4 linked regions of the Lepisosteus oculatus genome follow. The protein of the gene in region 3 purifies or fractionates together with the protein of the main gene of each other region. This does not show direct contact. Links are inferred from orthologs where the notes say so. Each region holds a gene or a part of one and is shown on either strand. Other genes may lie near its edges. The genes, in order: polr3f, csnk2a2b, polr2eb and polr1e.

Region 1 (8,354 bases), on a different chromosome or scaffold from region 3:
CCTGCTCCAGATTCCTGCCAAAGTCAAGGGAACGATAAATGTGTTTATAATACAAATTTATTTTACAAAGACCACTGTAATCAAAATTCCTTTCCACTAGAAATATCTTTGAGTTAAAGATCTATCTTTAATGAAGACACTGGGCATGTTGGTAAATAATAAAACAGTTTTAGTTATTAGTTCTTTTCAAAGAGCCCAACACTGCACGTATAGTACTAAGGACATCAGCCATGCTGAGCTACTGGTTTGGATTTTCTGTTTGTGATGAATTAGTGCCTCCTGGTGGTGCCCCAGAGTTACTTCTGTCAGAAACCTGAATATCCTAGTGTGCCCCATCCCAGTACTACCTGACCTGCTCCAGCCCTGCTTAGCTTCAGAGACCTGAGGAGGTGAAGCTTCTAAGTGGCAATGAATATAGACAAGCTGTGTAACAGTTTTAATACGTGTAATCTTACTAAAGGTATGTTCTCTGTGATTCTCTTTAACCAAAGATTATTAATAATGCAATGCAAAAAACACACTGAAAATATATGACAAACTCAGGTCCATGGAGGTCTGCAAATATGAACCAATGAAACTGAAGCATTGTACTCGTTCACTTTCAAAGAACAGCAGTAGTGCAGCCCACCGATTCACTCAGAACTGTGAAGCAATGCTACCCCACTCGCGGCCTCAGTGCTCCAGTTTCATTTGTGCTCTAGATAACTAAGTCAGACTATGACGTTCAATGATAATGATGGGACATATTAAGGATTTTGACAGGTAGGCAGTGGCTTTCAGCTGAACAAACTCCTGATGTCAATCTGAAGAAGTGATTGGAAAACAAACGGCTCAAGGCAAACAACTGCTCCATATGAAGAGGTTATTACAGTTGCTTAACCTCCTGTTCTCTCATGTCTTCATCTCCTACACAGATAATTAATGTAACGTCTACAGTTACAGCAGTGCAGCAGTGTTGCCGTTAATGTGGTGAAGCACATGTGCAAATGAGCAGATTTTGATTTCCACAGCAGAAAGCTCACCTTTGTTTCCGGCATCCTCTATGACCTGATACACCAGCTTCTCCTGGTTGTCTGAGCCCTTCATCTTACTGGTGAAAAGAGGAAATTTCACTTTAAATCACTAGCATGTGATTTAAATCACTAGCACACAGGAGTACATGAATGATGATGAACTGATATTCAATTTAATCATATAACCAAATGCAAAATGTTACGATATAGGTGTCCATCAGTGTAAGTACAGACAGACAGTGCATTTTCTTTAAACTCACTGAGAAGACATTATACAATGCTGACCACCTTACATTACAAAGAGAATCACAAATTCAGCTTGCACGCATAAGACCTATTTCCTTGACTGAAGGTCACTACAGCTCTAGGCAGACTCTAAGGTGGCAGAAAATCTGTGGTTCACTTAGTTTGTCGAGCCTCTTGAACACTGCTACATAATCATGAGAAACATTTTTACCCTACTGGACAACTCTCATTTTTGAGTTATGTTACAGTGATTACACTAAATACCACACAGTTGAAGAAATATCTAACTGCTTAGAAATAATTTCTGTGTGCACAAAGAAGTCCTTCTATGGCAGAGCAGTACAGCGCCAAAATGTCACCCTCTCAGACTGGAATACAACTTCAGCTTTCTACAGAAAAACTGCTCATCTCCAATTTTAGTTCAATCAAAGCAGGGTCTATCACGTCCAATGGTGTTGAGGTAAAAGGTATGAGCACCTGGCCACCTGTGCGTCTTTCAGCCTGTACAGAAGACCATTGCTGTTTCTCAGGAGGTCCAGCTGACCCTGAAAGATACAAGAGACAAATCTTACATATTTATCATCCAATAAACAGATATCAAGCAGCTTCTCAGCATGGAATAAACTCCTTAGATTTGTTTCCCTGTGTGTCAATTATTAATTTCCTGCATTGAATGTACAATTTTAGGTCCTCTGTCTTTCTATTGTCTGAGAACAGCAGTATTAGGTGAAAAGAAAGAAGGAGAAGGCTCAGTTTACGATCCCCACATAATAACTGAATAGTTATCACAATGTTCCAATAACAGGAGATTATAAAAAGATGTTTAAAGGCATCTTAATAATCTGCCAAATACCAACCATTGTACATTAAAATAAATGAGTAACTAATGAATGAAATGGAAAATAGTTTGGAAACAAACCATTCCTCTTCCTCTAAACCAGCGTGGTCTCCCCAGTCCTTGACAGGAGCGCAGCGCTAGCTAGTGTGCTGACAGCAATGAAAGAGGGTTTGTGGGATGTACCATGGAGAGCAGCCTGTTGATGGCCATGGCCCGCTGCTGTGGCTCCACATGCGGCATGTCGTTCTGGATCACCTGGTCTGTAATTCCGTGCGGGAACTGCTGGCACAGCTCCTTTATTCTGGAAGTCGGGAATGACTGAGGGTCAGTTATCCAGGTTCTCATGCTGTCATTTCTCAGTTGTCCTCTACGTGTTTAATGTACAACACGCCGTATTTAAAGCTCCTTGAAGGACTGCATACAAAGTTTTGGTTTGGACAAATTATCCAACACTTAGACAAGCAGAACCCAGCAAGACATTACAACAACTCGGTACACGTCATATAAAAGGAGACCTAAAATAATCTACTGTTGAAACGCATAGCCTTCCCTGCTCTCAGAAACTATTGGACGAGTTCCTAAGATCGATCAAATCCATTGTCCTAACGATCTACACAGAGCCCATGACCTCTCGTTCGTGAACTGTCTTATTGTAACTTGTATCTTCAAAACTGCACGAGTTACAAAGGTCGCTGCATTTAAGAATATCGCGACACTTTCAGCTCCAGCGAACTTCAATTTTTAAAATAATCTAATTCTAAGGTGAAATGGCGCTAGGCAAAACCACGTGACTTGAACACTTTATTAATCAACGTAACAGCCTAAATATTTTTTTTTTTGTCGGAGACGGTGTGTAACGTTTCTTGAGCGTTTTTGTCTTGTTAACTTCGTGTTGACATACGGTTAAAAGAAGACAAACCTAACCTGTTTTCAATGTCCACGGGATCCGCAGATTCTTGTTTTACCTTAACTTCTGCCATGTTCAACTGACAGAAGAACACAACTGAACTATCCAGTAATCCCTAATTCACGATGAACTCCGGAACACCACCTCTATGTCAACACAGCTTCTCTAGGTGGTAACCATGCTGCATTTCCGAAAAGGTTGGGGTCCTTCTACCTCGTGTCGCAGTTTTAGTAGTCTCTCTGAGTGCCTGACCAAAACGTGAAGTTAAAAAGCCTATACCGCGTAGGAAATCTTTCAAATATTTTTTTATTTTATGTTGAAGTGCACGAGAAATTAAGACTATTTAAACACCCAGACATAATTTAATTGTAATACAATTGTATATACGTGATGTACTTTACGTTTGTAAAACAGATACATGAGATGCATTTTTAGAATATATGTTTTTAAATTGATCTTTAGGTTTAATCGGCTTAATTAGTGATTTAAAGATGATATTTGTGTTATTAGTCTCAAGAATAGGTTTCAATAGCCAGCAGCCAGATCACCCTGCAACTCACAACTGGAAACCCACTGAAGCTCAGCAGGTGTGAGCCTGGTCAGTACCTCCTGGAAGAGGTGTTAGTGGTGCCAACAGGGGGCGCTCACCCTGTGGTCTATGTGGGTCCTAATGCCCCAGTATAGTGACAGGGACACTATACTGTAAACAGGTGCCGTCCTTCGGATGAGACGTAAAACCGAGGTCCTGACTCTCTGTAGTCATTAAAAATCCCAGGGCGTTTCTAGAAAAGAGTAGGGGTGTAACCCTGGCGTCCTGGCCAAATTTCCAATTGGCCTTTACCAATCATGGCCTCCTAATAATCCCCATCTATGAATTGGTTTCATTACTCTGCTCTCCTCCCCACTGATAGCTGGTGTGTGGGGAGCGTTCTGGCGCACTATGGCTGCAGTCGCATCATCCAGGTGGGGGAGGGAACTCCCCATTACCTGTAAACAGCTTTGAGTGGAGTGTCCAGAAAAGCGCTATATAAGTGTAAGCAATTATTATTATAGGTTTCCACTCCATGTGAATGCAGCTTTTACATTAGGTGTCCGAGCTTTGCTGTTTTAGCAGCCATTGGTCCGCTGGTTGCTAGGGGCCAAGCTGTCCTCCAATGGGATTCTGAGCTGCGCTGTTGTGTTGGTTACCGTAGCGTAGCTGGTTGCACGCAATTCTGGTGCGGAGCGCGACTGCACAGTCCGGTCATTGATTGATTGTATATGTGCAGATATTAAATTAAATAGGTACAATTTATTTTTTCTTGGGATTTTAAAATATACATCATCGCAGTTCGTGCGGGGGACGAATGGAAAGATCGTGAAATCACCTTAAATCCATATCCAGGATTTGTTTCGCCTTCAGCTGGTAATTGGAATAAGAATGCACACTTGTCGTGTTTTTTGTACGCTTAAAATTGATCGGAAACTGATTCAGAGGTAGCCCGACAGTTTTCCAATTACAGTTCTTTTTAAATAGCCTTAAGATCAGAAAAAGAGGTCTTTAATTGCGTGTCCCGTTGTGTGACGTTGAGTGAAGTCCTGACTGCTTGTTCATTTGTTCATGACAGATTCCAGCGCTGTGTGTAAGAGCAGGGCTGTAACCCTCAGGTTCGGGCTAAGTTCCGCTCTGGGTCTTCACAGTCTCACAACCCTCACGCTCTCATTAATTCGGTAGCTGAACTCAGTGAGGGGCGTGATGGGTCTCTTCCTGTGTTGAACGATCCTTTTGGACCCTTTGTGTAGCAAGATGTTGTTTTCTGTACTGATACTGGTTCCAGTGGATTATTATTATTGTTGTTCTTATTGTTATTACACAGAGCGATCTAGACCTGAGTAACTTGTGAGTAGTTTTCAATCATACATGGTAAATATCTGCCTCCTTCATGCTGCCTTGAGTGTGCCGGTCATATAAATGAATTGCATTAAATCATAGGTTTGGAACGTTTTGGTTCAAATGGTTTATTTAAAAAGAAAGGACAAAACAGCCAATCGCTTTGATCAGCAGGTAGAATATCCTACAGCTGCTGTATCTGCCCTCAGGAGCCCCACACTGCATGTGCATGTAAAGGACTGCTCAATGCGTGGTCCGAGAGTGTTGTGTAATGCAGCCCAGGGTTAGATCCTGGCTCAAGACACCAGGCCGGAGGGGTGCAGGCTGGGCTGGCGCTCCAGGTTGTGACTCCAGGCTGTGACCCCCACCCTGTGGGGGCTGCAGGATGGAGGTCAACATTCCGGCTTCACTGTCCGGATGAGCTTTTCCTCTCTCCGGCTGTCCTCTGGGATGCAGACACAGCTTCCTGCTGCGCTGGCTGCAGGGCGTGTTCTGTCTAGTTCTGATCCTGGGCAGGATACCCAGGCACAGCTAGTGGAGAGGTTCGGGTTCGGGGTTTGGAGGGGGTGTCTGGGTTTCTGTGGAGAGAGTTGTGTTTTTCTGGAGCAGGACAAGAGCAGTTCATGCCTGGGATCTGGTTCAGCACCTCTACTGGCCTGGGAAAAGGGGTACTAGCCTTGCTCTCACCAGAAGCAGTTTTCCGAAAATGAGAGAATGGATCCTTCTGCATGGAAAATAGACGAAAAACCAGACCTGCCCTGTAGTCATGAGTGATCACAAATGAGACGCTGTATTATAGACATATACTGTTCTGCGTCACTGTCTGCTGAGTGCATGAAAACTATGCATCTATATTTGACTGGACTTCTACTTTTCCAGGCTCAGTTCGACAGAGCTGTCGTTTTCTTGAGTGAACATGACGGCAGGCTCGATCGTGGCACCTCAGATCATTCCCATCAGAATTCCCCTGCCTGGCAAGGCCAAGCACCAGATAGACACCAACACACCCGTGGAGATCAAGTCAGGTAAGAGCCAGGAGCACCAGGTCCAAAGTCTTCATCGTGGAACCATCGACGTCCTGCCGGGGAGCTGCTGTGTTTTCTGGGATTTTGCTTGTCTTGCTGAACATCCTCCAGCATGTTATTCAAGTCACTGGAAATGCCAGAGGCTGCAGTGATGTCCTGATAATGTTGTGCAATTTTTTTCTCAGGTAGATAATAATGCTGTACCTTGTAGAAACTGACCTTTATATAAGGATATCCTCCACATGTCAGTCGGTCACTCTCCCACTAAAACAAACCAATCAGTTTCAAAACGAATTGATCCAATTCAATGGAACTTCCTCAGCTGGAGTTGCAGGCCGTGTGCAGAGGCAGTGCTGGCCAGCAGACCTGTAACTCTCTGCAGGGAAGGGATGGCAAATGGGATTCAGGGTTTTCTCTACGCGACGAGGGGAATATGAGGGACTAGGCTGGTGTGTCAAATTTGAGTGGCTGACGAGGTTACAGCACGTCTCCTTCACAGACACCCCAGACGTCAGTATTTTCTTCACCCTGGACGGCAGTAAACCGGAGGTGCTGAAGAAGCCGGGGTTTGGAGAGAGCAGCACACTGCGATACCGGGGGCCCGTAGCCTTACCTGAGGGGAAGGTAACGGTGAAAGCACTCGCTGTTAGCAGGTGGGTCGCAAAGGAAGGTCCAGGGTGCTTCTGGCCCCCTCCCACCGAACCAGGAAGTTTGGTTTAGAAATCCTGATTCAGAGAGAAAAGAGGAAATAGCGCCACCTACTGGTTGACACCTCCAGTAACAGCTTGATCCTGATACCTCCCATCCTAGCACTGACCTGGCCTTGCCCTGCTTATATCCCGGGAGATAATGATGTTAGAAAACAAAGGAGGATCAGCTGTTAACTAGCAGCCTGAAAGTGGTTGATTGCAACAAGCAAGGACTGGGCATTAGTCAAAGAAGTTAGCAAAGGTGCAGGAGGCTCAATGTGGACACCCTGATTTGAAGTTTCCAGCTTCTGTAGAGTGCAGTTAGAATGTACCTGTGTCACTGAGGTGTCCAGAGCCTTCAGACACTCTTACACTCTCTCTGCAGCAGCTGTTTGCAATTTAAATACCAGCCTTCTGAAGGCTAACATGTAAAACTTTGCTTTGCTGCTTTCAGATTTTTAGTTAAGTGCTGAATTTGACAAAGTTTTGTGTTTCCAAGTAGAATATTTTTGTTATGTCTTGTGTGTGCAGTTTGTTTCAGGGGCATCTGATCACCGTGGTGTCACCAAGAAGCTGAGCTTCCTCAGCCCTGCACGTACAGCGGTGCTGATGACGGCGTGTTCTCGTTGTGTTTCAGGGATGGCAGGGAGAGTGCAGTCGTCACCAAGTTCTTCCTGGTAGAGTATCTTCCTCCTCCTGATGACCCAGCCTTACTTGAAGATGATAAAGACAACTTTCTTGAAGAGTACACCCAGGACACGGCCCGCGACACTGCCTGGGACACGACCCGAGACACTGCCCGCGACACAGCCCGGGACACTGCCCGCAAGGCAAGCGAAGTCTCACCCGTCACAACTCGCTCCAGCGAGGCTCTTAGACACAGACCTGCTGATGCTGCTGATGCTCGAGTGTGCTCAGAGTGAAGTTCTCTGGTCCTGGCAGGGTGAATCAGTGAGACCAGGGCTCAGGTCTTTGTTGCTGCTGCAGTGCACAGCCGTGCTGGTCTCACCACACTCTCAATGCCTTTCCACCTGCAGGAATCCCTGGAAGGAAGCGCTTTCTTTCCGGGCGGGAGAAGAGCAGCAGGCAGCGCCTGGGAGGAGACGGCACAGAAGCTCCAAGGTGTGTTTGAGGTTTCAGGCAGAGTGGACGAAAAGCTGCTGTGCCTCCCGGAGAGACTGCTTCAAGATGCTTAAGAACCTGGTCACAATCACTCTTGAAGGAGGCCATGTCCACTAATCCTTGTTCCTCTCTGGACAGATCAATCGGCAGACAGATACACAGGTGGACAGATCAGTGGGCAGACAGATACACAGGTGGACAGATCAGCGGGTGGACAGACACACACACACACTACAGGACTTGTCACAGTGATCTGTATCACAAATCCACTGATCTAAACAGCAATTTTAAAGCCTGTGTTTGCAACAGACATGCTAATTAAGAAGATTGTTGTGGGGTTGGCATGCATTTTTACATAGCCAGAAAGCCATTCATCTGTAGTCGTTTCCAGATTTACATTGAATGTGTGAGCGTTACAGTGCAGCACTAAGACTCAGACTCGGCATATTGTCAGTCTTGTAGCACCCAGGCTGTGATGACACATGTTGTGATGGATTTCCAGTGAACTCTTTGATCTGCTCTTCAGCTGACTCATCCTTCAATGTCTCTCAGCTGTAAAGATCCAGGGCCGCCTCTCCCACAAGCCTCCCAAGGGACCTCACTACCTGACCACTCGCCTGGGTCCCCTCTGGCCAGGCTCAGAG
Region 2 (7,577 bases), on a different chromosome or scaffold from region 3:
TCTGGGCCTAATACACAGAACAGCTGGTGCAGAGAGACTACACTACAGGCACAAAAGTAGCGCTCTACACGTATGTGGGTACTTGGTACTTCGGGGACTGCTTGTCTCCGTCTGGCTCTCTTTTATTTACAATCTTCATCACTGCACTGGAACGATCAACGTAGAAAGCAGATGTCAGTGACTGGGAAAAAAGGGAAGGAAAACCCTAAAAAGGTGAACAATGCAGGCCTGCCTCAGGCCACCCTACTGTACCTCAAAGAAGTACACAACAGGCCCAGGCAGCCTAAAGCCAGACACCTGCTGTGAGCTCCCGGTACAGTCATTGGTGCTTTGCAATGTCCTCCATTCAACACAAGGACAATGTGCTTCCTTAATTCCAGTATCTCCCAGTGAAAATCACAAATTTCATTCATTTAAGTGGGTTTTTTTTACATTGAATACCCCCCACGTATACAAAGAAATTAGAAGCTAATCAACAATGCCTTGTTTAAACGCGTTTTTAAAAAACAACAACCACCTACTTTTAAAAAGAATCTTCCAAAAAGACCACACCGCCTGTGCTCTGTGCTCAGCTGTGGTCTTCGGTGACTTTTGGAAGCTCAAGAGCGGCGATTATTTCACAGCCATAAAACCGGACAGAAACAAACCCACACACAGCTCCTGAGGTATAAATAAAATTGGTCTTCCGGGGACTGCGGGTAAGCAAAGAAACTTCACGGCCTGATGGAGATGAGAATTCCTCTGCCATCGATTAGGCAGCACAAATCAGGTGCCAAATTATTCCGACTGTGCGTTGTGCTCTATTTGTCTAGCTGCCTCTACAGCGCCGGTATTACAGTCCCCCCCCAAGAAACAATTCAAGAGTTTAGGTATGACGACGAATTAAGCATTCACGGAGTCCAATTTTAAATGCTCGGCGGTTCAGGAAGCCGCACTGGAAGGCCTTGGCAAAAAGGCTGAAATGGAAACTTTCTAAGCCGGCTGCTGCGCGCTATCTACCGCGTCCAAAACGCCCGGGGTCTCGGGGTCCCGGGGTCTCGGCGCCCCCCGTGTTTTTGTTTTTTTTTCTCCCCCTGCGAGTTTCCTTCCTCACCTCCAGCTGGGCACATGTGCCTCGTAGTCCCAGTACTCCCGGCTCTTCAGAGTGTTCACGTCGGCGTACACCCGAGACTTGCTGCCCGCCGCGGGGCCAGGCATGGCTAGCCGGGGCGAGGGGGTCTGGGGAGCCGCTGCGAACGAGGGACAGCGGGCGGTTATCGGAGCCGAGAGGGGGCCGTCTGAGCAGGGCGGGCGGCTCCCGCCGGGTACCTTCTCCGGGGAGGTCTGGGCGCAGTGTCCGGAGAGCTCACGGCAGGCAGGGATCGTAGCCCGGAGAGCCAGGCAGAGCGGGGACCCAGGCTGCAGGACGCGAACGGCGGCGGCGGCGGGGAGAGGGAGGAGGAGAGGGATCGCCAGGGTAATCAGCCCGGTGAGGAGACGGAGCGGGAGGCGAGCACCTCCGGAGGCGGTGGCGAAACCCGCGCAGTCTGGAGTTTCAGGTTTTGAAAAGTGGGGAGAGGGGGGACGGGGGTGCCGTGAAACTACTGACTGCAGGCGAACCCCCCCATCCCGCTGTGGGCCGCGAAACCCTTGATCCGGAGACAGGGAAGCCCGCTGAGACTCCCCCGGGGTCCAGGCCCTGCGAGAGGCGGAACGGATCCTCGGGTGGAGGGGGGGGGATGGGGATGGCGCCGGTGCCGTGGATGTTGACGAAAAACGGTCTTACAATCCAGTACTACGGGTCTACAGGATGTATTCAACGCAAAGCCGGCGTGTGTGTGTGTGTGAGTTGAGGGGTGGTATGGGAAGGTGTGTGTTTGCGGGTTGGGGGGGGGGAGGAGATGATCGGCGCTCTCGCTGCCCGGTGGTGATCGAGCGGATCGATGGCCGCTTTCCCTCTGCGCCCCGGCCGGCGGGACCCCGAAAGCCTGCGAGCGCCGTCCAAGCCGCTGGAGGAGAGCGGGGAAATCGCTCCGGAGGTCGGATTCGGGGATCTCTATGGGAACCCCCCTCCCCCGGCCAGTACCACAGGCAACCGGATTGCGGCAGATCCACCCGGAAACGATCGCAGCTTCGCGAAGATGGATGCGACCATAGACGAGCGGATTACGACTAGACAGCGCCGGGCCCGACCTTGTGGCGGTGAAGAGCTGCCGACTTCCGGCAGGGCTTGAAGAAGAAGAAGAAGAAGAAGAAGAAGGGGGGGGGGTCTGTACTGCTTCGGTGTGAGCCTTGGAAAAGTGTTTCCTGCAAATGCTCGAATTGAGAATCAGGCTCCGACAGCAATAAAGTTAAACTGGCCGTCAAGCCCCCCTTATCGGTCACTGCATTGAAAGAGGCTGGCAGTGTGTTCAGTAAAGACAGGCGTGTGCATGTCGTCTGGTTCAGAATTTACCGGTTCTCTCGTTTTTTTTTTAAATCTAAACCCAATTCGGAAGCACTCATACGAGGTCAGAGGACGCGTCTAGCTCATGAAGCACGTCGATTTGTTCCAGCTGATCGCATTGCTCCTCTTTAATCCTGGGGCGTTACGAGACGAGCTTTTTAAACCGCCCGAGAAACTGGCTCTTACTGCCGCCTTTCACGGTTTTGGAACAGGATTCAGTTATCACCAACACGGTCATACCTGCAAAAATAAAATAATATTAAATAATATAGTGTTACGCCGTTGTTAAAGTGGCTAGGTACAATTAATAATATACATTTAGCCTTATTCTATTCTTACCTAATAATATTCACCTCTTCATTTAATAAGGCTGTATGGCTTAAAATTATACATTAATTTCGTTTTAAGGGGCATTTTTATAACCCTGACCAGCAGGGTTTTAACATATTGTTAAATATTGTAAATATCCCGTTTTCTCGTGGCTGTACTGATTTATTTTTTTAAAATATATTTTTTTAATGTACTGAAAGTCATTAAACCGCCACAAATACTATGGCTTCCAATGTCCATTTGCTGCATTTTTAATATCTCTTAGTCAACGTTAGAAGCAGAACTGAACTTCGCTGTGTCCCTTTTAGCATGCGCAACCTTGCACGCAATAGTATAATCCTCTCTCTGACAAGAGCAGCGCTACCGGGCTGTCAGTGGCCAACCTTACCGCCGCCTACTGGAAGGGAGGAATCCGGTCTGCAGGTGCTGCAATTAATAATAATAATAATAATGTTAATAATGTTTCTTTATTAGCCCTATACAAGTTCTTGCATTAGGAATTCGTCTTTTCGCATACCCCAGCTTTTCTCCAAGGAGACACAGACACACAGACAGGGAGAAGCTTGGGGTCAGAGCGCAGGGTCTGCCATTGTACGGCGCCCCTGGAGCAGTTGGGGTTAAGGGCCTATTTAGGAGCCCTGGAAATGAAATATATATATATACACGCAGCGCCATTCCTGACATATCAGCTCGAGGCTCTGGAGTAAAGACGTTAGAAACGCGCAGATGGACGGCATCAAGAGTCATTGTATAACAGTATAGAGGGATTTTTCTTTAGCTCACCGGGCTGGGTCCCTGTTGAGTAACGCGGAAGTCCCGGGTTCGAGCCCCCGACGGTGGGGGGCCGACCTAATGCGGCAAGGGCCCCCGCATCGTAAACGGAAGTTTAACACTGGATGCTACATATTGGCAAGATGGAGGGTAATATATTACACTGATTTGAGTTCAAAATGAATAAGACGTTGTTGTTTGTTACCTGGAAACCTGCTTGCTATTGCAAAGGTGTGGCATTATTTATAAGTGACGTGTATCGACCGATTTTATTGATGTATAGCGACACATTATTTTTTTAATGTCCCTATTATTTGTTTCAAGTTGCAATCTTCTCTACCCACACAGTGGGGCAGTAATGTATGATTCAGTGACATTAACTCCTGGTCATGGAGGGCCGGAGTACAAGATACAATGAATCGTGAAATAAGGAAACACTTGAAAAGACCGGCAATATTGACACTAAATTGTCTTGCAAACCGCGGTGGCGTCATCGCCTGACGTCACGCGCCGTGTGTGACGTCTACGCTGGTTGCCAACTTCAGCCTCGCTTGTTTATCCTGGCAACCATGGCGGAGGCAGAGTGCGAGTCCCAGGCAGACGACAATCCGGAGTTTTCCGAGCTCGGGGCGCACGAATTGGTGTTGCTCGTAGAAGAACTCAGGTACTGTAAATAGAGAGAACCAATCGGTGTGGAAAATGTGGACGAGGGGAAGTTCGGATAAGGCGTACACCCTGATGTACACGGGATAGCTTGATCAACAGCTTCTGAAGCTAGTCCAGAGCAAGATTGACGGCTCAGAGGGTACTTTTGTTTTCAAGCGTTAAAAGCTCTCACATTGAAATACCACAATACAAAAACAAAATACCTGCAGCTCCTGCGGTTGGTCTGTCTATCCTACTATTCTGGTTAGGAGCACATAATTCCATGCACACTTATTTTTTAAAAATCACTTCTTTGAGATGTCGTGTTTTCTTTTGAACTGTATACTAGCTGAGCATTCTAATTCAACTTTGCATGCAAGAGAGAAGGCAAGGTACGAACGACAAGGCAGGAGAGGTGCTCGACTAATCTCTAGACTGCACCTCAGCTTCCGATTGCTCGTGTAACCAGGAAAATGCGCACAGCTCGGGTACTGTGTAGACTAACACTAGGCAAATGAAAGTGAGCTGCGCCAAACGGCAAAAACAGGTGTTTAAACGGTTGAGGGCCTTATAACCGCACCGGTGTCGTATCCGGTAATTCTGACCTAAATCCCGTCCGACACATGTGTGACCGCAATACGCAGCACGTCTTGCAATAGATAGATACTTTATGACGCCTACGTGGGCAGAAGGACGTAAAAGTGCGCTACGGGTAGGAAACCAGTAGCGTGAGGTCGCTGAGCTTGAGAGTCACTTCCTAACACCGGAGAACGCACGCGTGAGCAGCCCCTGTCCTGCCTCTTGTGTCGCCAGCCGCTCCAATGGTGTCCTCAAGGCCGAGACGGAGATGTTCCAGAGGTACATCAGCCGCCTGGACCCCAAAGACCTGGCTCCGGCGGCCGCGGCGGAGCCCACCCTGGGCGTGTCCCAGGCGGAGGTCACCCAGGTATGGTGGACATGCCCGTGTGGGGCGCCCCGGCTGTCTCTGCCGCAGTGGGGGGGGTTACTTGGGTCTGTCTCCGATCTTACAGCAGCACCTGTCAGTGAGCCGAGATGTGTCATTTTAGGGATGTCAGAGCCCAGATCTCGTACTCTAGACGTCTTGTTCGGTTTTCTTCTTTATTTTTTAATGACTTTAGTTTTCCATTCTCACCTTAAGCATTTCCCGTGGATTGTGTTGCTGCAGGGAAGGGCTGCTTGCTGCACATAGTGATTATCACACCTGCAAAGCTGTCTGAAAAACGTTAACTTTCTCTTTCCCTTATCCTTGAGGTACAAGGACACCATCATGTACTTGTGGTACATTCACACACACTTTTTAAATTTTGGGGGGTATTTTTGGAGGCAGTTTTTAGTAGAATTGACAACATATATGGAATTAAGACGATAAAGAACAACGTAACCAGAAGCCATCAAAAAGAGCACTACTGAGAGAGCGCAGGGCACGCAAACCCCTAGCAAGCGCTGGAGAATTCAGGTTTCTTATTCAGTTCCTGGCACATTTTGAGTCAGTGAAAACAAGCTGTCGGCATCAATGTGATGTCTTTCACAACACACACGAGGGACTCTGCGAACGTTGCCCCCAAGCTTCGGGACAGTAATGAAACGGTACATCTGTCTGTCCTGACACGCGTGAACCCGCCGCGTTTCGTGGAACGAGAAGAGGCCCGCCGTCGTCATAGCCAGCGCTTCCCACGGCTGGCCCTGACGCGGCTCGGTCTCGTCCGCAGGGCCAGGGCCAGGCCCGGGGCCGGAGCAAGTCCAAGAGCCGCTCGTTCACGGCCGAGCGGCTGCAGCGGCTGACGGTGGAGCAGAAGTGCGACGTGGCCCAGCGGGAGCTGGAGGAGACGAGAGAGGACCTGGGCAGACTGAAAGAGGCCTCGGAGCGAGTTCTCAACAACTACAGGGTAGGAGCTGGGCGCAGTTAAAGCGGGAGGGAGATGTAACGCTATTTTCAGAGTCCGCTGTTAGAATCTGCATGGATGAGCGCATTTCAAACCACAATTAGAGTGCAATGTACACAGTAGCGTGTAAACCTCCAATTTTCTGCACAAAATAGATCCCATGTCTACGTTTGCGCAGCACCATGATCTGCGATTTAGAAGGAGGCGACCAAACTCTGGTGAGGTGAAGCGGCCCCATTACATTGTAAAGAAGCCGGCTTGTGAATACATCTCTAAAGCCAATAGAAATACTGCTCTCGATTTCGAGACAGTTTGCTGAAAATTCAACTTAATTGTTAAACTCTGCACATTGTAGACATTTTATGGAACATCAGATTTCCATTTCTGCGGTAAAATGTCTGCTGCACAACCTGTACGTATTCACTGGTACATCCCATTACATTAGCCATTACAGTGAATAGTGAGCAGGAAGGGCAGCATCATGTCACAATTTGTGGGAACTCGAGTGTGAGTTTATGACAACATCCAGTACTTTCACTAAGTTCACAAATTTGTGCTTAATTCAGAATTTCGACATTTTTCCCCTATAATGTCAATGACTTTATTTTGTTACCGAGATTTAATAACCAGTGTGAGAAACTGGGACTGCAGTTCTCATTAATAACTCGCCTGTGTGCCAGCTGTCCCCTAGGCTGCACAGACCCTGGCTGGTTCTCACTGTGTGTTGTGCTGTGCTACATCAGTGCTTCCGGTTTACACACAGAAACAGCTGCCATGTCCAGCTCTAGGTTATGATATCTGCAGTGCTTTGAGAATCTGCTAGATGAGATGCTGAGTTAACCACAGACATTTTATGGCATAGTAGTGTACAGGACTCCTCTCACAAATCTCTAAGAATGTCGAAGTCAGGGATCTCTGGGCTGGTACTCTGAATGGTAGTTTTTCATGGTTGAGCTCCAACATGCTTATCTCTTGCTGGGGGTGGAGCTGCATGCCTTTGCTTGTGGCTTTTGCCATTTTTTCTTGTTACTGTGTTGACCTCCCAGGCCACTACAGAAGAGGCTGATATCCGGCTGGTGGAAATAAAGAAGGCCACGTATGAATTTGAGCGTGATGTCGCCCGGGTCCTGCAGGAGAAGAGAGGTGTCATGATGGGGGCAGAGAAGGTAGTGCGGTATATCGAGGACAGAACCAGGGCAAAGGTGAGCAGGCACAGGACGTGTGTGAGAACAGGCAGGGTACAAAGACTGGGGTCCCAGCCAATGCAACAGCCTGGCCATTAAGTAGGACCTTGATCTGCAGCTTAAAAGAGAAAAAAAACAGGGTATTTGCACAAAATAGTGCATTTGTGTTATTGCTGCAGATCTTTGAGTGGCATGCCTTTAATTAGTTAATTGTTCAGTTCATCTCTTAGGTTTTTACTCTACAAGTTGGCACGCTTCCATTCCACAGAGTATTAGTGTGTCCTCGAGGCTGCTGTCTTAGTGACATCACGTTGGAAT
Region 3 (7,984 bases):
TTTTTGGATGCTGGAAGGAAACCCATTTGAACATGGGGGAGAACACGCAAACTCCACACAGACAGCAGCAGAGGTCCAGAATTTAACCCAGGGCTCCAGTGCGGCAAGGCAGCAATGCTAACTGCTGCACCACTGTTAATAAGATAGGATCACTTTATTGGGGCCATATACCATTTCTTGTATTAGGAATTTGTCTTTTCGCGGACCCCAGCTTGCGCTCCATGAGAGCAAGTTGCATAGAACACTGGCCTTGCAGAGTCTCTAATGGACCTGCGCAGTGAGCTTCACATAGAGCTGCTGCACGAGAGGCTCTGCTGCCCATCGTGTAGAGCCTAGTATTAAGAGCAAAGGTCCGAGGCAGCAGAACACACAGTAGGAGTGTTCAGTGTCGCCTTATACCTGAGCAGGATGACCTGGACGTCCACTCTAAAGGTCACAGGACACCAGTACAGTGTACAGAGAACAGGGGTTAAGTATTGAGGCAAAGCAGTGCTAATTAGCAGAGTCTAAGAGACAGACTTCTGTGGCGATTTGTATGTTTTGCGATATTGTCAGGCACAACTCCCAGAACATCCAGAAGACAACGTTCTCTGCTTTTCTCGGAACAGCACACGGTGAGCCGAGTGTGAAAAAGACATGTGGGTCAAACCGCGCGAGAAGGATACTATCGAGCCAGCAGCTCCGTCACCTCTTCTTTAGTCATCACTATGTGCTCTGGAACCAGCTGCAAGACAAGCAGAAGGGAAACCAGCTCATAGTCCTGACAGCACAGCAGAACAAGAAAACACAGCACTAGCAAAATCAAACAGCTCCGAACCCCGTTTTCTTACACTTCCTTTGTTCCGTTATATAAACACGTATGATTTTTTTTCCCTGCACTTGATAATCCAAAAGGTACACAACTGTAAATAATACACGTCTCTTATTGAACCTCATGCAATTTTACTCAGGAGTTCTTTTCAAGCAACCCAGAGTGCTGTACAACGGCATACATATAATAAACAGCAGAAACGAAAAGAAATATTTAGAAGAACACATTAGGGGTCACAGGACGTGGGGCATTGCAGTTGTGCAAGATACGACTTGCACAAGATACTTCACTCAGACCGCTCTTGTAAAACACCCTCCTGTACAAATTGGCACAAAAGCAGCTTTGGCTAAAAGCATCGGCCAGTTCATAACTACATTTATCCCCGTCAAGAGACAAATGTGATATCTGCAGTTATTAACTTAAAAATAATAGAGATCAAAGTCTCTTCCAGTTACAAATAAGAGGAGGCCATTCTGCAAGGTCTAATCTGTACAGTTTTTAGTAGCTAAATGACTGACGGATCTCGTCCAGCTGTTTTGTGAAAGAAACCATGGCGACAGCTTCAACAATAAGGCTGGGTAGCTTGTTCCAGAGTTCCACAGTGCTGTTGGCAGTGGGGGCAGCCGCAGCTCTGGGGCCAGCTCGCCATGCCTGCGCTGAAGCTCTCCTCACCTCGTGTTCTGTGATGTTGATGAGCAGCTCCTGCTGGAGAAACTGCTCCAGGATGTACTTGGGGGCCATGTCTACCAGCGACTGGAGAAGGACAGGAAACAATGCAGCTGAAACACCACACCACCGTCAAAACCTTCCCCCCTGCCCCCTCTAGTGGGCACTGTGTGCTTCTTTTACTCACACGATGGGTACAAGTCTCAGATCACCGATGTCATCCTTCATTGGAAACAAAGCTTGTGTCACCTTGGGCTTACAGTTTCTACAACGTTACTGCACTTTATTCATGTTCGCTGTTTTCATCTCCCGCTTAACTCTGCGTGTTCACTGAATGAGAAGTCTTGCTAATTTAAATTAACTTCCATCCCTTATTCTGCTAAAAAATATCAACCTCTATCGATCTAAATATATAACTGCATGTGGACTTGAAAGGATCTTATGTCCTCACCTCACAGTGCGAATGTTGCAGCAGGTTAAACATGTTATGTTGGTTTAACGGAGGATCAGGTGAAAGTGAACATGGCTAACTGCGAGGTTTGAGCGATACTGGGGGGTTTTTAAGGGGGGGGTTGTACCTGTTTGGCAGAGGGTGTCATGCCCATTTGCACCACGATGATTGCTCGTGTGATGTTCTCCTCCTGCATGCGCTGACAGTACATCTTAATAGTCTTGATGCCAACTTTGGGCTCCTCTGTGGAAAGAGCACATGTGCCTGGTCATTCTCCAAGTAAAAAGAGGCTCTTCTGAAGTTAACACTGGACGAGATCTGAGACCCCCCCTTATACATGCCAGAGATTCTGAGGGTTCAATTACAGTTAAAGTCCTGTGGACAGTTTACTGAACACATGCAAAGTCCCTGGGGCCAGCGATAGCTTCTGGTGCAGCTGTGCTGAGGAGTTCTCCACTGAGTGTGGATCCCCTAGGATGTGCTGCACAGTTTGTTCCATCTCCCAGGCACACAGAGGGCTGAACGAGAAGTCAGCAAGGCATGGACCCTGACGGCTCCCAGAGTGATTAAGATCGAACACGAAGTTTCTAAACGTTGGCTATGTCGCCAACACTTGCATGTCAGAATATTTGACTGTTGCCTGATGATCTGCTTGGCAAACGTTGGTTTAGACGTACGTGGCGCGACTATGTGTACATGTGGGTGTGAAGCACTCCGAACTCCCACCTGGGAAAAAGACGAACATCTGGTCAGTGGGGTCATCGTTGTGAGCCACCAGCACGGTGAGGTCCGTCCGGCGGGGGCGGCCTTCGCTGGGCTTGTCCCCGAACTGGCTCTTGAACTCCTCCAGGGTCTGATCCAGCTCGTCCTGGGTCACCAGGTAACCCCGGTCATGACACAGCTAGAAGGCGATCCACACAGCAGCCGTCACCACGGGCTGAGAAATACCTTTTTTTTTTAATCTTTGAAAAAACTTTTTTTTTATGGTACAATTCCGAGATCGTGAAAGGGGCTAGACGTGTCCCACGGAAGAGCTACACGCGAACACCGGCGCATACCCAAATTATCTTCTTTTTTTTTTACGGAAAGAATAAATGACTCGCTCCATTCTTACCTGCATGATAGTTTTCCTGATTTTCCATAATCTGTATGTCTCCTCCTCATCATCCATTGTACGTTGTTTTCAGAAGAAACAGAAAAAAACTTCAATCGCTCTCCTCCAACACGCTTCCTCCTTTCGCGCAAACAAGCTGACTTCCGTCGCTCCGTCGCCACAATGGACCCCTTGCTGGCATCCAAGCATTTGCCTGTAATTTTCACCATCAGCTTTCGTACTTATCTGAGAATATATTTAAATCGTATTATTCTTAAATAATAGCACTACGTTTTTGACAATTAGATCAGTAAATCGCTTATGACCTATTTTAGAAGCCCATTTGAGCCAAAAGGTGCTATTAGCTATTATTTCCACGTACTACTGAGTTCTCCATTTTTTTAAGGTCCAATAAAGACCTAAAATAATCGTTCAACATGGTGTTAGGGTGTTAGTGGGGCCAGCAGGGGGCGCTCACCCTGCGGCTCATGTGGGTCCTAATGCCCCAGTATAGTGACGGTGGTGGTGGAGGGGAGACCCTATTACCTTTAAAGCGCTTTGAGTGGAGTGTCCAGAAAAGCGCTATATAAGTGTAAGCAATTATTATTATTATTATTATTATTATTATACTGTAAACAGGCGCCGTCCTTCGGATGAGACGTAAAATCGAGGTCCTGACTCTCTGTGGTCATTAAAAATCCCAGGGTGTTTCTCCAAAAGAGTAGGGGTGTAACCCCGGCGTACTGGCCAAATTTCCCATCGGCCTTTACCAATCATGGCCTCCTAATAATCCCCCTCTATGAATTGGCTTCATTACTCTGCTCTTCTCCCCACTGATAGCTGATGTGTGGTGAGTGTTCTGGCGCACTATGGCTGCCGTCGCATCATCCAGGTGGGGCTGCATATTGGTGGTGGTGGAGGGGAGTCCCCATTACCTGGAAAGCGCTTTGAACTGCTGCCATTTTGGCTCGGGGACAGCGCTAGTTTCTGCGCGTCCCTTTGGAGAGGAACTAGGTCCAAAATGGCCACCCCAGTGAGGCAGTTGCTTGAACCGGAAATAGCCCAAGACCCCAACGTCTTCTTTCCGGGGCGGGCCCTGGCCGGGAGAGTTAAGTCTCCGTGGGGCGATGCAGATAGTTACACGGTCTCTGTGTTTCGGACTGGTGGCGAGCAGAGCGATTGTACGAGCTATGGTAAGGCATTCGCGTTCTGTTTGTAATCTGATTGCCTGTGTGATTATCTGTCTCTTTGCTTGGTCCTACACTTCGTTGCTTTCGAAGTCGATATTTTTAGATACGCTGAGTCAGTAAGCAGTACTTTTTTGAAGAAGATCAGTGAAGCTTCGTACGGTCATTTTCTGTCACTGTAGGGTTTGCAATACTCGTGACTGTTAAACTATTAAGTAATGATATTGGTGCGCACTAGCCTAATTCTTCCAGGTGGATGCTGCACATTGGCGGCGGTGGTGGAGGGGGTGTCCCCATTACCTATAAAGCGCCTTGGAGGAGTGTCCTGAAAAGCGTTATATAAGTGTAAACAATTATTAATTAATTATTATAATTCTGGCAATACACACGCCTAATACTATAAGACATGAATCACGTCAGTGCACTAAATATCCTTTATTATTGGTTCCCCGTCATTCTGCACATGACGGAAACTGCGGTGTCGAGAGCAGGTGGCGACAGTATTGTGAGAACTGGGCTTTACTGCTGTGCTGCTTTTCAGGCAGACGGTGGAGCGGGCCTTCATTGGTGTTTTCTGCCGAAACCTCTGTCGCTCGCCTCATGATTGTAAAGATCTTGGGAGTCTGTTTGGGTAGGTTGTGTGTAATCCGCAGGATGGTGATGCACCATGAATGCTGCGTGCGATTTAGAAACCGCAAGGCAGCAAAAACAAACAAAAAAACTTAACAACAATGCGGGAAGAGCCTTGTCCTTAAAAATCTTTTTATTGCTTAAAATCGCACCTGTATTATTAACATACGTCATTGTAGCAATGAATCAAGTTTAATTAGGACTGTGATGATCTTTCTGTCTCAATCCATGATTTAAAAACGTCATTTAACGACAATAAACGCGACAAGTACGATTATATTACATTAGAAAGGCGGTTTTGGGCGATTTAACTATCAAGTAACAGAATGAGTTACAGATTATTCGATCTGTAACTCATTCTATCTTGCGTGCATACAGTGACCCGTGATTTCTCCTTCTACTGCTTCTCAGTGCGCCCTTTGGTTCATTTACAAGCCCTTACCAATCGCACAAATGAAGACCTGCCTCAAATATCAGGCTCTCGAGAGGCAGAATAGCTTTGCTGCCCAGAGACTCTTCGATTCTAATCCAACTGCTGCAAAACAAATGGCATGATCAGAGCTGTGGGCTTTGCTCCTAGCCCTGACAAACGAGTGGAACAGGAGAGCATTGTGAGAAGCGCTTCATTTGCATAGAGTCAATAGCTCTCAGAAAACTGATTTATTTATTCCGCCAGCGCGCGCGCGCCCTCGCCCTGACGTCAGCTCAGTCGCGCGCTTGACCACGGCTGTTCTCTGCAGGCCGAGAGCGTGCGTGTGCGTGGGGCAAAAGTCAGTGTTTGGAGTCTGCCATCAATTAACCCCCTCTACATTTACGGTTCTATTACTCCCACCCCCACCCCCTCTAGTAACTGAATAAATGTCTCAAAAGAAGGCCAAGCTGTTTTGAAACGCCTATTAAATTAAATTTTCGTTTAAAGACGGACATCAGAGGTTGCCCTGCAGTTGCCAGTTACACACACACACATATGTGTTTAAAGATAATTGGCTTCCTTGTCTTTCTGGGCACGCTTATGAAGTGTGTAAGAACTCGTGTCTTGGTTAGGCGGTAGAAACCGTTTTAGCCCTGCGGTTGATACTAAACTGGTTTTCGTGTCCTGCTGGTGCGAGTTCCCCTTGTTCAAGCGTGTGTTTGTGTGGACGACTCGGTGAAATCTGACAGTGGTTTAAGCGTCCGTTACCCCAGAAACGTTTAAAAGGGGTTTGCGAGGCTCTGGTTTTCTCGGGTCACGAAGATGTAATTTTCTCAGTTACACGCAGGCAGCCTCCGATCTTGGAATTTTTCAGTCTTCAGCTGTGTTGCAAGCTTATTGCATGTTTGCTTAACTTTCCTTCAGTATTAATAGCAGCAGTAGGCTTGGTGTAATTGCAGAACTGTGTGTGTGTGGGTCTTGGGCAACTGAGAAGTGTCACAGAGTGGAAGAAACCTCAAGTTTCAGGGACAGACTGAAAAAACATTTTTATTCTCTGCAGTTTTAAAGCTTAGTGTTTGTGGCGCTTGCAAACAACCGAGATGACTTTTTTTAAAAAAAACAAAAGGATGTGCAAATAAACTGCATTGCAGCTGGTTTAGATTTAATATTAAAAATGAACTAGAGGAATTCAGGTTGAGACTCTCTCAAGTCTATGCCAGCTGTGCCTTTATGTTGGATTTGAACCTGCAATCCTCTTGTCAGGAATCCAGAGTCTTAACTACACCTTTGCCCCAGTACGTCTAGCATGAGATCCTATGAAAATACTTTTTATAACAAGGAGCAATCCATATCCTTCCCCAAAACTACCCAGGATGCAGAATGCTAAACATTTGCTCTTCGTTATGACACCAGTGCGGCTACAAGCCAAGGAAATGCATCATGATGGAAGAGCATTGAAAACTAAAAATGGGAGAAAGGGTTGTAGGAGTGTTGGACATGCTACCCGGCCATGTTGTTGAAGCTGATGCCCTGCTAATTTCAGGAAACAGTTGGGAGAGATCCTCGGATCGATTACCTGCTGATTACCAGATGAACTGGATCTGCTGAATGCCCTTCTCTTTTTTTGTAACCTTTCTTATTCATCCACCACTTTTTCTAACCACTTCATCCAATTCAGGAGGTCCAGGTACCCCCCTAGACAGGACGCCAGCCCATCGCAGGACACACCCCGACACGCACACACTCACACCAGGGCCCAGTCAGTTGACCTCCCACTCCGTGTGAAATGTGGCGAGAGATCGGAGCCCCCAGAGGGAACCCACTTCAACACACGGAGAACGTGCAAACTCCACGCAGACGGCAAACTCCCAGGAATTGAACCCAGGGCCCCAGCAGTGTGACACAGCACTGCTGACACCTGCGCCACTGTGCTGCCCTTCCTTTTCTTATTCTGCCACGCCATGTGGTACAGCTGAATGTGCCACAGCATCTCTTACACAATGGAGTTTCAATATCGATAATGATGGATCGGCTTGGAATGGGCATCTGTGCTGCTCAGAAGGGAGACGGGATGTTCTAAGGTAACAGGACATGACTGTGAGCACGAGAGTATTTCACAGGCAGGTTCTGGATAGGTAGACTTCTCGAGAGAAGCCGGCCCAACTGCAGGAGGCCAGCTGTGGCTGAAACAGGCTTTCAGGAAGAAGCGAGGAAGCATTTTGACTCTTTAGTCCAATTCCGAAATATCCCCAAGAGCCTGTCTGCTTCCTCAGTGCTCACATGATTGGATTTTTTTCCCCCCATTTTCTCAGAACGCGAATGTGAGACGTGGAGACGTCTTGCTCTCCAGTGTGCGTTTGTGGGTGTGGTCTTGTCAAGTCAGCGCTGTCCAGTGTTATTTAGTGTTGGGACATCTTCCTAAATATGTATTGTAACCTTTGTCCTCGGTTCCAGCAAGCTTTATGACTTGTAATGTGTTTATCTTGAGGCTGTCATGGGCACAGGAAGATAACAGTATCTTTTCTTATGTTTTGCTCGCTGAACTGCTTGGATCCTCTGCAGTTACATGGGTTTAGTCCACACACAGTGCAGGACATTGATCAGCTCTATCAGCTGGGCGAATCCGGTTTGAAGTGGTGACTAATGCGGAGCTGTATGGATGGGCAGGGTCCAGAATAAAACGGGTTGAGCTGGGGATTTCTTTGAGTCAGCTGTGGCTCCTTGGACTAATCGA
Region 4 (7,970 bases), on a different chromosome or scaffold from region 3:
AAAAACTGCATTTAGCAATGTGTTGACTTTGTAAAACTACTAAAAAGTGTTGGCCATGAATTCCTTAAAGGCCAAAAGTGATCACTTTAAATAGACAATCGTTGCCACTGAGATTAAAGAAACAAGAAGAAACATGAAGAATTTTTTTTTCCCCCTCAAACTTGGAGGTTTAGTTTTTGGTGATAAGAGCAACTACAGTGCAAGCCAGGAAGTTTGTTTTTCAGTTACAGTTCAGCATTGCGTTCATTAGCAAAGTAGCCCAGCTGAATCTATAGCCGGGACAATAAAATGGAAACATGGCAGTGAATATCTTGAGAAGAAACTAAATACAACCTTGCTTCCCCCATTCACAAAGCATTAGAAGCAGTCGAGTATCAAGAGATCAGATCACTTTAAACACTACAGTACCTTTTCTCTGTAGGACTTATTCTTGTGCTCCAAGGCGTCAACTTCAGTTACAGTTTCACCTACAAATATGCATGCAAGCATGTAAGTATTTTTGATAAATCAGAAGGATACGCATTAGTTTTCCAAATACAGAATAGACAACTCCAATGTCTAAGAAAAAGGCTGTTAAGGCAGCAAAATCTGTCCCCGCTGCCATCGATAACTACATGGATTTTAAACGTTAGAGGTTTAGACACAACATTAAAGATTTGCAGTATGTCATATGGGAAAATAAGCGTTTTAGCAAACTAGGTGCACTACCCAACTGATTTGGAGACATCAGCATACCTGGAATTACTGGCTGCATACTGAACAGCTCCACATTGTGCACATTCATTGTCCTGGTTTTTTTGTCCAGAACACCCACATAGTACCTGGGGAATGAATACATCATGCGTTAGTGTAGCGAAAGGACACAGGTACAGTGTTTGGTCACATGACCCCAACAGAACTGTGTAGAGAAAAAGCTTCTCTCAACTTTTGTTGACTTCATGATTGCATTCTCTCAGAGTGCAGTTCTTCACTGGTCAAGAAGCACATATGTATACATCCGTAGAAATTACTTTTCAGATCCGGGACATTTTCTGAAATTTCATCAGCAAGCTTTAGGGAAACATCTTCCACCTGCAAAGACTTACTTGCAAAGTGTGTTACATTTCAAGGCTTCAGCTCCATAATTATTCCCAACGTAGCAGAGCCTGTCTGTTTCTGCAGCCTGTGACAAAACACAGGAGACAGAACCTGAGTCATCGGGATACCAATCTAATATTAACCTTCATCTATTCGTCATTTTTCAATAACTGCTTAATACAAGACCGGATCACAGTGACAAGGGAATTTACATTTTTTTAGCCGTTAACAAAATTCCAAAATTGGTTATAGAGAATGGCCCCTGCAAACCATTTTGCTATCAAATCATTTCCGATTTCAGTTTGTATATATTTATACCGGGTGGAAGCAGTTTATTTGTGGAAACTATGGAGTTTTGCTTTTTTACTCGAAAATGTACTCAAGAACATGCACATACTGAACAGCACAACAGGGTTTAAAGGGTTTAATTAAGCAATTCAACTACTTACATATTAGCGGACAACAATGACAATAAAAATGCAGTTGTTAGATTAAAGTGGGCCGATACTTAAATCTGCAACTACATTTAAACGTACCAGAATGCGCCTGTTCTTCTTTCTTGGATTGCTGAGATCAGTGTTTCTGTATAACGTGAAGTCGACCAGGTCGGCGTTTCTGAGTTTGCCATTGGAAAACTGAACTGCAGAAGAAGACGTGGGAACCAGCTATGATTAACTAAGAATGTAAAAAAACTCAGCAAGGCATTATTTCGGTCTCTCAGACTAAGACAATCACCACAACGGTCAGAAAGACTCCAGGTTTACACTATAATCGTCTACACTATAATCTATCGTTTTCTTTAGTATCGATCTAGAAACCAAAGACCTTCAGGATTATACACCTAGACAACCAGAGCTGGAACTCCTTGAATTTTAAAATTAAATTAAACTTATTGAGAAGGTTTAATCATAAATTACGTTTATCCAAAATCAGCTTAAGTGTAAAACGTGCACTGACTTCACTCACAGTCGTTTTACTACCACGTGTACGACCAACATTGCAGCAGAGAAAATATATTTACGAATACGATTTTTTTTTTACAGCCGGTATAAACTGGAAGAGGCGGACTGTCTCCGTTTTTGAAGCAATTCGCGGTATACCTATTGCGGCAGGCGGCCGTTCCTCCCGTTCCTCCCGTTCCTCGTTGCAGTGTTTCCAAACATAGGAGGCTGCCATTTCTGTGCTCGGCCCTGAACCCGAAAGCGACTTCTGAGCCGGCGGGCGTCAGCGGCGCTTATAACCGACAGCGCCCCCTAGCGGCGAACTCCGGCTCTACACCGCCCACTCGGCGACAAACTGGCTTGAGTCGGGCGTTTTGTTTGCCATCGTTTGGAAGGCCTTTCATTCACGTTTCAGGTCCATACGGTTGGATGTGTTGGGATTTGTACAATACCGGGAAGAGAGAACATCTGCTTTTGTTCGGTTGTTTCAAAGCACAAATAAATAATAAACGTATGTAGTTCCATATAGGGTTCCAGTAAGGAGCTGTATTTTTTTTCCCCAACGGGTACAATACACAGCTACTATTAACAAAAAAAAACAGCATAACAACAAATGAGTTATTTTCTTAGTCTCTCTGACACTCGCACCAGGTTTTTAAAAATCATATCAACAGCACTAAAGTCATCAGATACAAAATAACATGCCAGACTTCACAAACCCCAGTCCACCATCAATCGGTCCAGAAGTTTCTAAACGCCAAAACATTACGAGGTACAGTAAGGTGGTCAGAGGAGTCAGAAACGTAAACTTCATTGACATTTGAAACCCTCGTTGAGCATCTTCTTGGGGATTTGTAGGATCGTATATCACAGGATTCGTTTTATTCAGGAAATCGCTGCTCGTTTTCCATTTTTATCAATACTCCAATCCCTCTGACTTTTTTATTTAGGTTCCCCTGTCGTGCTGTAGTGACAGTTTTGAGCCTCAGGAAGAAACGGCGGTTGTCCCGGCTTTAGCGGATCAAATACAGAGCCAAAACAACAAACGTGTGAACCGTACGACGTTGATCAAGTGGAGGATATTTATTTTTAAAAAAGTTTAGTAACCGGTCATGAATATTAAGCAGTTTCCTAATTTAGTCGAAACGCTGCTGGTGTCCAGCGTCTTTTTTATTCATGACAGGAACGTACCAAAAAACACACACACACACACGAAACACCACAAAAATAAACCCCTATCCTACTGAGTTGCAGCCCGGCTCTCAATCGTTTGGGCTGTAGCTACAACAAGCGAGGTGCTCTGTAGGTTTTTTTTTCTCTCTCTCTCTCCGGGTTTTCGCGGCTTGTTTCTCCGGCCAGTGAGAATCTGCCGCCCCGGAGTGAAATAACGGGCCCCCGGCGCTGCGGTGCAGCAGTCAGAAAACGTCACTCGTCTGGGATATTGCTTTCCCGTTCCGGTTTTTGCAGATTTGCAGGAAAAGGAGGGGAACTTTTTTTTTCCCTCTCTCTCTCTCTCACTCGCTTTCTCGGACTGTTAACCCCCCTGTTCCGGGGAAACTACTTTTGTTGTTGTTGCTGTAAATGTCGTTTTTGGACAGCGGAGGCATCGAGTCCGGGTACATGCTAGAGGGGATATCGTCGTCCTGAATCACACAAGGTAGGCTTTGCGATTCCCAGTCTATTCCCAGTTTTATCCTGGGCAAGCCTCCCCAGTGCACGGCAGCACGCAGGCGCTGGATTAACAACACAGACATCAGACAGACTGGTCCTGCAAGACAGCGAAGAAAAGGGAGGAGAAGACCCCCTTCGTGGACAGGATTTCTCTCCGTGTTCAATACATCTGAAGACGCACAGGACGGGAAAAAAAAAAACGCCTCTGTTATCCGGCCTCTCAGTTGGGCTTCATGTGATATGTTCCCAGGGGTGTGCTTTGTTCTGATCTCGGGTAAAAGGTAACGTGTGTGTGGTCTTTTTTTTCCCCCTCCTGCTGTTGTTTTTGGCCAGTGACACAGATCAGAAAATAATGTAAAGCAGACCTGTGTGAGACGGAGAGAGAGAGAGGGAGACAGACGAGCCAGACGAGGCTCCTGGATGCAGAGCCGAAAGCCTTTTTCCTGGGGGGAGGGATAAATACAAACACAAAACTGAATAATATCGTCTGCATGAGGGAGATACCGACAATTAATGGCAGCTACTGTATTCTGTTTATCTGGAAGTAAATACCTCTGTGGGTTTAACCTTTATCTACGAGCCGAACGAATTTGATCGGAACAAATCATATTATTTCGCCGTTTCAGGACCAATTTAATCTAATACGATCTGCAAACTATGCCCGCTTGCACGAAGTGATGGATCCACAAGTCCGATAGGAAAAGAATAACCGAATAGAAGTAGCTGCATATCCTCAGCCGACGGCGATGTGTGCTTTTTTTTATTTAAAATAATTGTGCCAAGTCTTCGAGATCGCCAGTCTGATTTTGCTGAATTTAACATTTTTTTGGTAATGCATCCTCAGTGTAGTGCGATATCGTTACAGAGTGCATGGTGATATCTCACAGCGATATACAGTTCGGGGGGCGAGGCTGCGTTTGGCAGACGTTACCTTGAATGAACCTCTCTCGGCTGAACTGATTGACAACACGCAGCCCGGAGGTTACGCCGGGCTCTGGGGCGCCTCTTGCTCGCCCAGAAACCCGGGGCTCCTGGCCTGACACCACATTCGCATGCTTTTGACTCCATTTGAGAGAAGGGGGCAGACTATGAAGGTGTTGCTCTTGTTGTCACAAAGCAACGCGATGTTTCAGAGACTTGGACTTGATTGCGTTTGCCCCTCATTGGGGGGGGGGAGTCGTTTTCAAAAAGTGTTTTATACGTGGAGCCAAAAACATACTTTCGACGTATGTGTGCATCTTGTCTTGGACCGGGGGGGTGACTGTAATGTAATTTGGTGGATGTGTAGCTTTTTGAAGTAAATTCACTGTGAATTCTTATCCCGTCGTTTACATAAATGGGCGAATTAAGATGTGAAAGATAAACATGATGTCAAATGGAGATCCTTTCTTTTGTGTTTTTTTTTGTATTCATGCTCTTGAGTATAGTAGCTGTTTTCTTTGCGCGGGTTGGAATGTAGAGAAACTAGCATGCAGAAGAGCTCCTGCTTATTCTTACTTCTTACCGCCTATATACCCACGAAGCAGGGTATTTCACCAGTAGAGATTGTGTAGTCCAGTCATTGTTGTAGAGAGGGTTTGTTCTTATCTGTCTAAATAAAGAAAAATATTAGAAATGTTCGGAGCCATACAGAACAGCACTGAAACATGAGAAGCATCAATCCAGTTTTTTGTGGTGAAACACTTTCCCTGATATCCAAGGTGCCCTCAGGATCTGCCTTTCCTTGAGAGACAGTATCTATTCTGGAGCCCAGGAAGAGGGTATACTGCGTTATTGCTTAATCAGTATATAAACTGGCTAGGAAGTGTCCAGAGGCCCAGTCAGGTCCACTTCCTGTTCTGGTTTGCTCCTCTCCGAGGGGAGGTGGGAGGGACGAGAGATGGTGGATCACGGAGTGTTGGGCCTTTAAGTGATTCATGCCTGTTGGCTGAGGGGATGTGGTTTGTCCTGGTCCTGAGGATTCGGAGGCACTGGAGTCTGTCTGTCAGTGAGCGTGGCGCTCTGAAAGAGTTTACTGTCTACAGTAGTTGAAAGATAAGCAGCCCTACCACATTCGTGTCAAACGGAAATTACTGTTTTTTTTTTAGAATTGAGTGTATTTTTTTTTGTACTTTTAGTTGTACTTTGTGTTTTTTGATGAGGGAGATTTATCCATTTAATAAAAGGTGGAGCATAATACAAGTGTGCAACAATTGTACAACAGTTTTAAATACAAAGCAAATAAGCCATACAGCAGTGCTGTTGTTTTCCCTGTCACTGGGCAGAGTAGCAGTGTTTTCTTTTGTTTGTGGCTTAATTACAATACCTGAATTACTGTAAATTGTTGTTTGCTCAAGAAAGCTAAATCCTTGAAGCAGCTGGAACCTTTTACAGGCAATGAACTAAGAAATCTGCAGAGTGCAGGACTAGTGATGAGACCTTTGCGTGTTACTGTTAAATCCGACATATTTCATACTTTTTCTTTCTTGTAAAACCAAAAATGCAAGATGAAAGCTGTAAAGATGAATTTGGAAACCTACAAGAGTGAGCTTTCTTTGGCAAGATATCTCCAGGTGTATTTCAATTTCAGTCACTTTGCATAGACAAATGCTGCAGATATTGAAATATTTCAAATGCTTTTTCTCTCTGGTCAGATTAATTTGTACAAGAGTGTGCGGCTCATGAAGCTCTCATCTTTCAATTGGCTGTGCAGAGGAAGTCTTCATTTCCATCCTCAGAGCTCTGCTACAGTATTGGTGGATACCAGTAGCACTGTCTGGACTGTATAGAATAGGAAAGGGCAGTTTGAACTCAGAACTAGCTATGCATCAAGGAAAGTTAGTTCTGGATAAATCAAATTGCAATTAATCCAGAAGCTTTGTTTCAATGCACTGCCTAACTCTAGGTCTGTCCCTATTCTTGTATATATTAGACCTAAAACATAATTAACTCTTCATAAAAGTCTTAATGAAAGATGAACATAGTCTAATTAATATATAGTTGGATTATGTGATTTACAAAATGTTCTAACAGTAAATGACCTTTGGAACTGGTGGCACCTCCTTCACTTGCAATAACTTACACTGGATGTGTACTGTAACTGTTTATCTGTCACTCGTATCAGCTGTGAGAAATGTGGCCCATTCTTCCTTACAGAACTGCTTGGAGCCTCCATGAACAGCTGAGCATGAACAGTTTACATCAGGTCCTTCTATATCATTTCTGTAGGGTTTAGGCCAGGATTTTGACTTGGTTATTTTTCTTCTTCTTCTGCTGTTGGTGTTATGGATCTGCTTGTATGTTCAGAATTGGTGTCCTGTTGCATGAGCTGATTTCAGCACAGCTGCAGCTGATGAATGGGCAGCCTCACAATCTCCTCCAAAATATGCCGATACAACACAGATTTCATTGTTTGTCAATGATGGCAGGTCATCTGGTCTCGAGGCAGCAAAGCAACCCCAAACCATGCTTGACATGTTGGGGTGAGGTTCTTCTGTTGGAAGACGGCTTCTGATTGTTTTTCAGTCTCGCCAGAAAGTTGTACTTTTGACATAAGTGTCCAGAGTATCTTCCTGCAGTCCTGTGGATTGTCCAGGTGATCAAACCTTTCATGGGTGACGTTAGAGAGCAACGATTCCTTCCTGGCTATGCTCCCACGAAACCAGCTCCAGTTCAGGTTTTTTTCTGATGATTGAGGTATGAACGCTGACATCAGCCGCAGAGATTCTTGGGTTTTAGTTTTTGTGACTTCCTGGATGGGTTTTTCGAGTTTCTGTTGGGAAGATCTTAGAAAGACACCCAGTCTTGAATAGAGTTATCACGGTCTTGAATATTTTCCACTTGTAGGCAGGAGGCTCACTTAGCCTGATGGGAGATGCAAGGATCTCACCCCGCTGTTTCTGACAGGGTATTGGATTCAGAAAGAAGGCTGTTTGGTAGCTTGTTCCACATTTCTCCCTGGTGTCTGGGTGAAGAAGTGCCTCCTGTTCTAAGTTTTAAATGTATTTGCTCATAGTTTCCCCTTGTATCGTATGGTTTGTTGTCACTGTTTGCTCTGAGGAAATGCACAGGATTGACAAAGTGAGCATAACTCACTGTAACCACTGCGTCTCTAGAGAGACCATAAGAAAAGCTTGTTTAAATAAAAACAAATAAATACTCATACGTATTAAATAAGGAAATTCTCTACAATCGCTTACAGGAAGTTATCTTCAATTTCTTGGCTGTTGTTAATGGCTTCTGTTTGTCTACCTGCAAGCAGTCGCATCTATATAAAGTTTAACTTCCTGTGTATTCTATGAA

What was found.
Region 1: the proteins of polr2eb (region 3) and polr3f purify together in Homo sapiens (affinity purification with mass spectrometry; 4 studies listed by BioGRID and IntAct, counting the BioPlex papers as one, with this or other methods). This does not show direct contact. The link is inferred for Lepisosteus oculatus from reciprocal best matches to the Homo sapiens genes POLR2E and POLR3F.
Region 2: the proteins of polr2eb (region 3) and csnk2a2b purify together in Homo sapiens (affinity purification with mass spectrometry; 3 studies listed by BioGRID and IntAct, counting the BioPlex papers as one, with this or other methods). This does not show direct contact. The link is inferred for Lepisosteus oculatus from reciprocal best matches to the Homo sapiens genes POLR2E and CSNK2A2.
Region 4: the proteins of polr2eb (region 3) and polr1e purify together in Homo sapiens (affinity purification with mass spectrometry; 4 studies listed by BioGRID and IntAct, counting the BioPlex papers as one, with this or other methods). This does not show direct contact. The link is inferred for Lepisosteus oculatus from reciprocal best matches to the Homo sapiens genes POLR2E and POLR1E.

The regions. Positions count from the first base shown.
Region 1 is NC_090712.1:580,208-588,561, reverse strand, and holds the start of polr3f (DNA-directed RNA polymerase III subunit RPC6), read right to left. Parts: upstream 3,210-8,354; 5' UTR 3,078-3,209; coding exon 3,022-3,077; intron 2,399-3,021; coding exon 2,281-2,398; intron 1,805-2,280; coding exon 1,737-1,804; intron 1,091-1,736; coding exon 1,023-1,090; intron 15-1,022; coding exon 1-14. Other genes in the region: dzank1 (double zinc ribbon and ankyrin repeat-containing protein 1), read left to right, coding at 5,791-5,899, 6,399-6,552, 7,226-7,418, 7,626-7,710, 8,263-8,354. UniProt on the Homo sapiens protein: DNA-dependent RNA polymerase catalyzes the transcription of DNA into RNA using the four ribonucleoside triphosphates as substrates.
Region 2 is NC_090715.1:11,437,178-11,444,754, forward strand, and holds the start of csnk2a2b (casein kinase II subunit alpha'), read right to left. Parts: upstream 3,161-7,577; 5' UTR 3,144-3,160; intron 2,666-3,143; 5' UTR 1,309-2,665; exon of another isoform or gene 1,230-1,308; 5' UTR 1,198-1,229; coding exon 1,094-1,197; intron 1-1,093. Other genes in the region: cfap263 (cilia- and flagella-associated protein 263), read left to right, coding at 4,096-4,190, 4,985-5,117, 5,902-6,078, 7,122-7,277.
Region 3 is NC_090724.1:6,669,087-6,677,070, forward strand, and holds the start of polr2eb (DNA-directed RNA polymerases I, II, and III subunit RPABC1), read right to left. Parts: upstream 3,221-7,984; 5' UTR 3,100-3,220; coding exon 3,043-3,099; intron 2,830-3,042; coding exon 2,655-2,829; intron 2,172-2,654; coding exon 2,056-2,171; intron 1,565-2,055; coding exon 1,484-1,564; intron 725-1,483; coding exon 666-724; intron 1-665. UniProt on the Homo sapiens protein: DNA-dependent RNA polymerase catalyzes the transcription of DNA into RNA using the four ribonucleoside triphosphates as substrates.
Region 4 is NC_090696.1:67,217,257-67,225,226, reverse strand, and holds the start of polr1e (DNA-directed RNA polymerase I subunit RPA49), read right to left. Parts: upstream 3,313-7,970; 5' UTR 2,254-3,312; coding exon 2,178-2,253; intron 1,718-2,177; coding exon 1,614-1,717; intron 1,163-1,613; coding exon 1,086-1,162; intron 822-1,085; coding exon 736-821; intron 468-735; coding exon 409-467; intron 1-408. UniProt on the Homo sapiens protein: Component of RNA polymerase I (Pol I), a DNA-dependent RNA polymerase which synthesizes ribosomal RNA precursors using the four ribonucleoside triphosphates as substrates.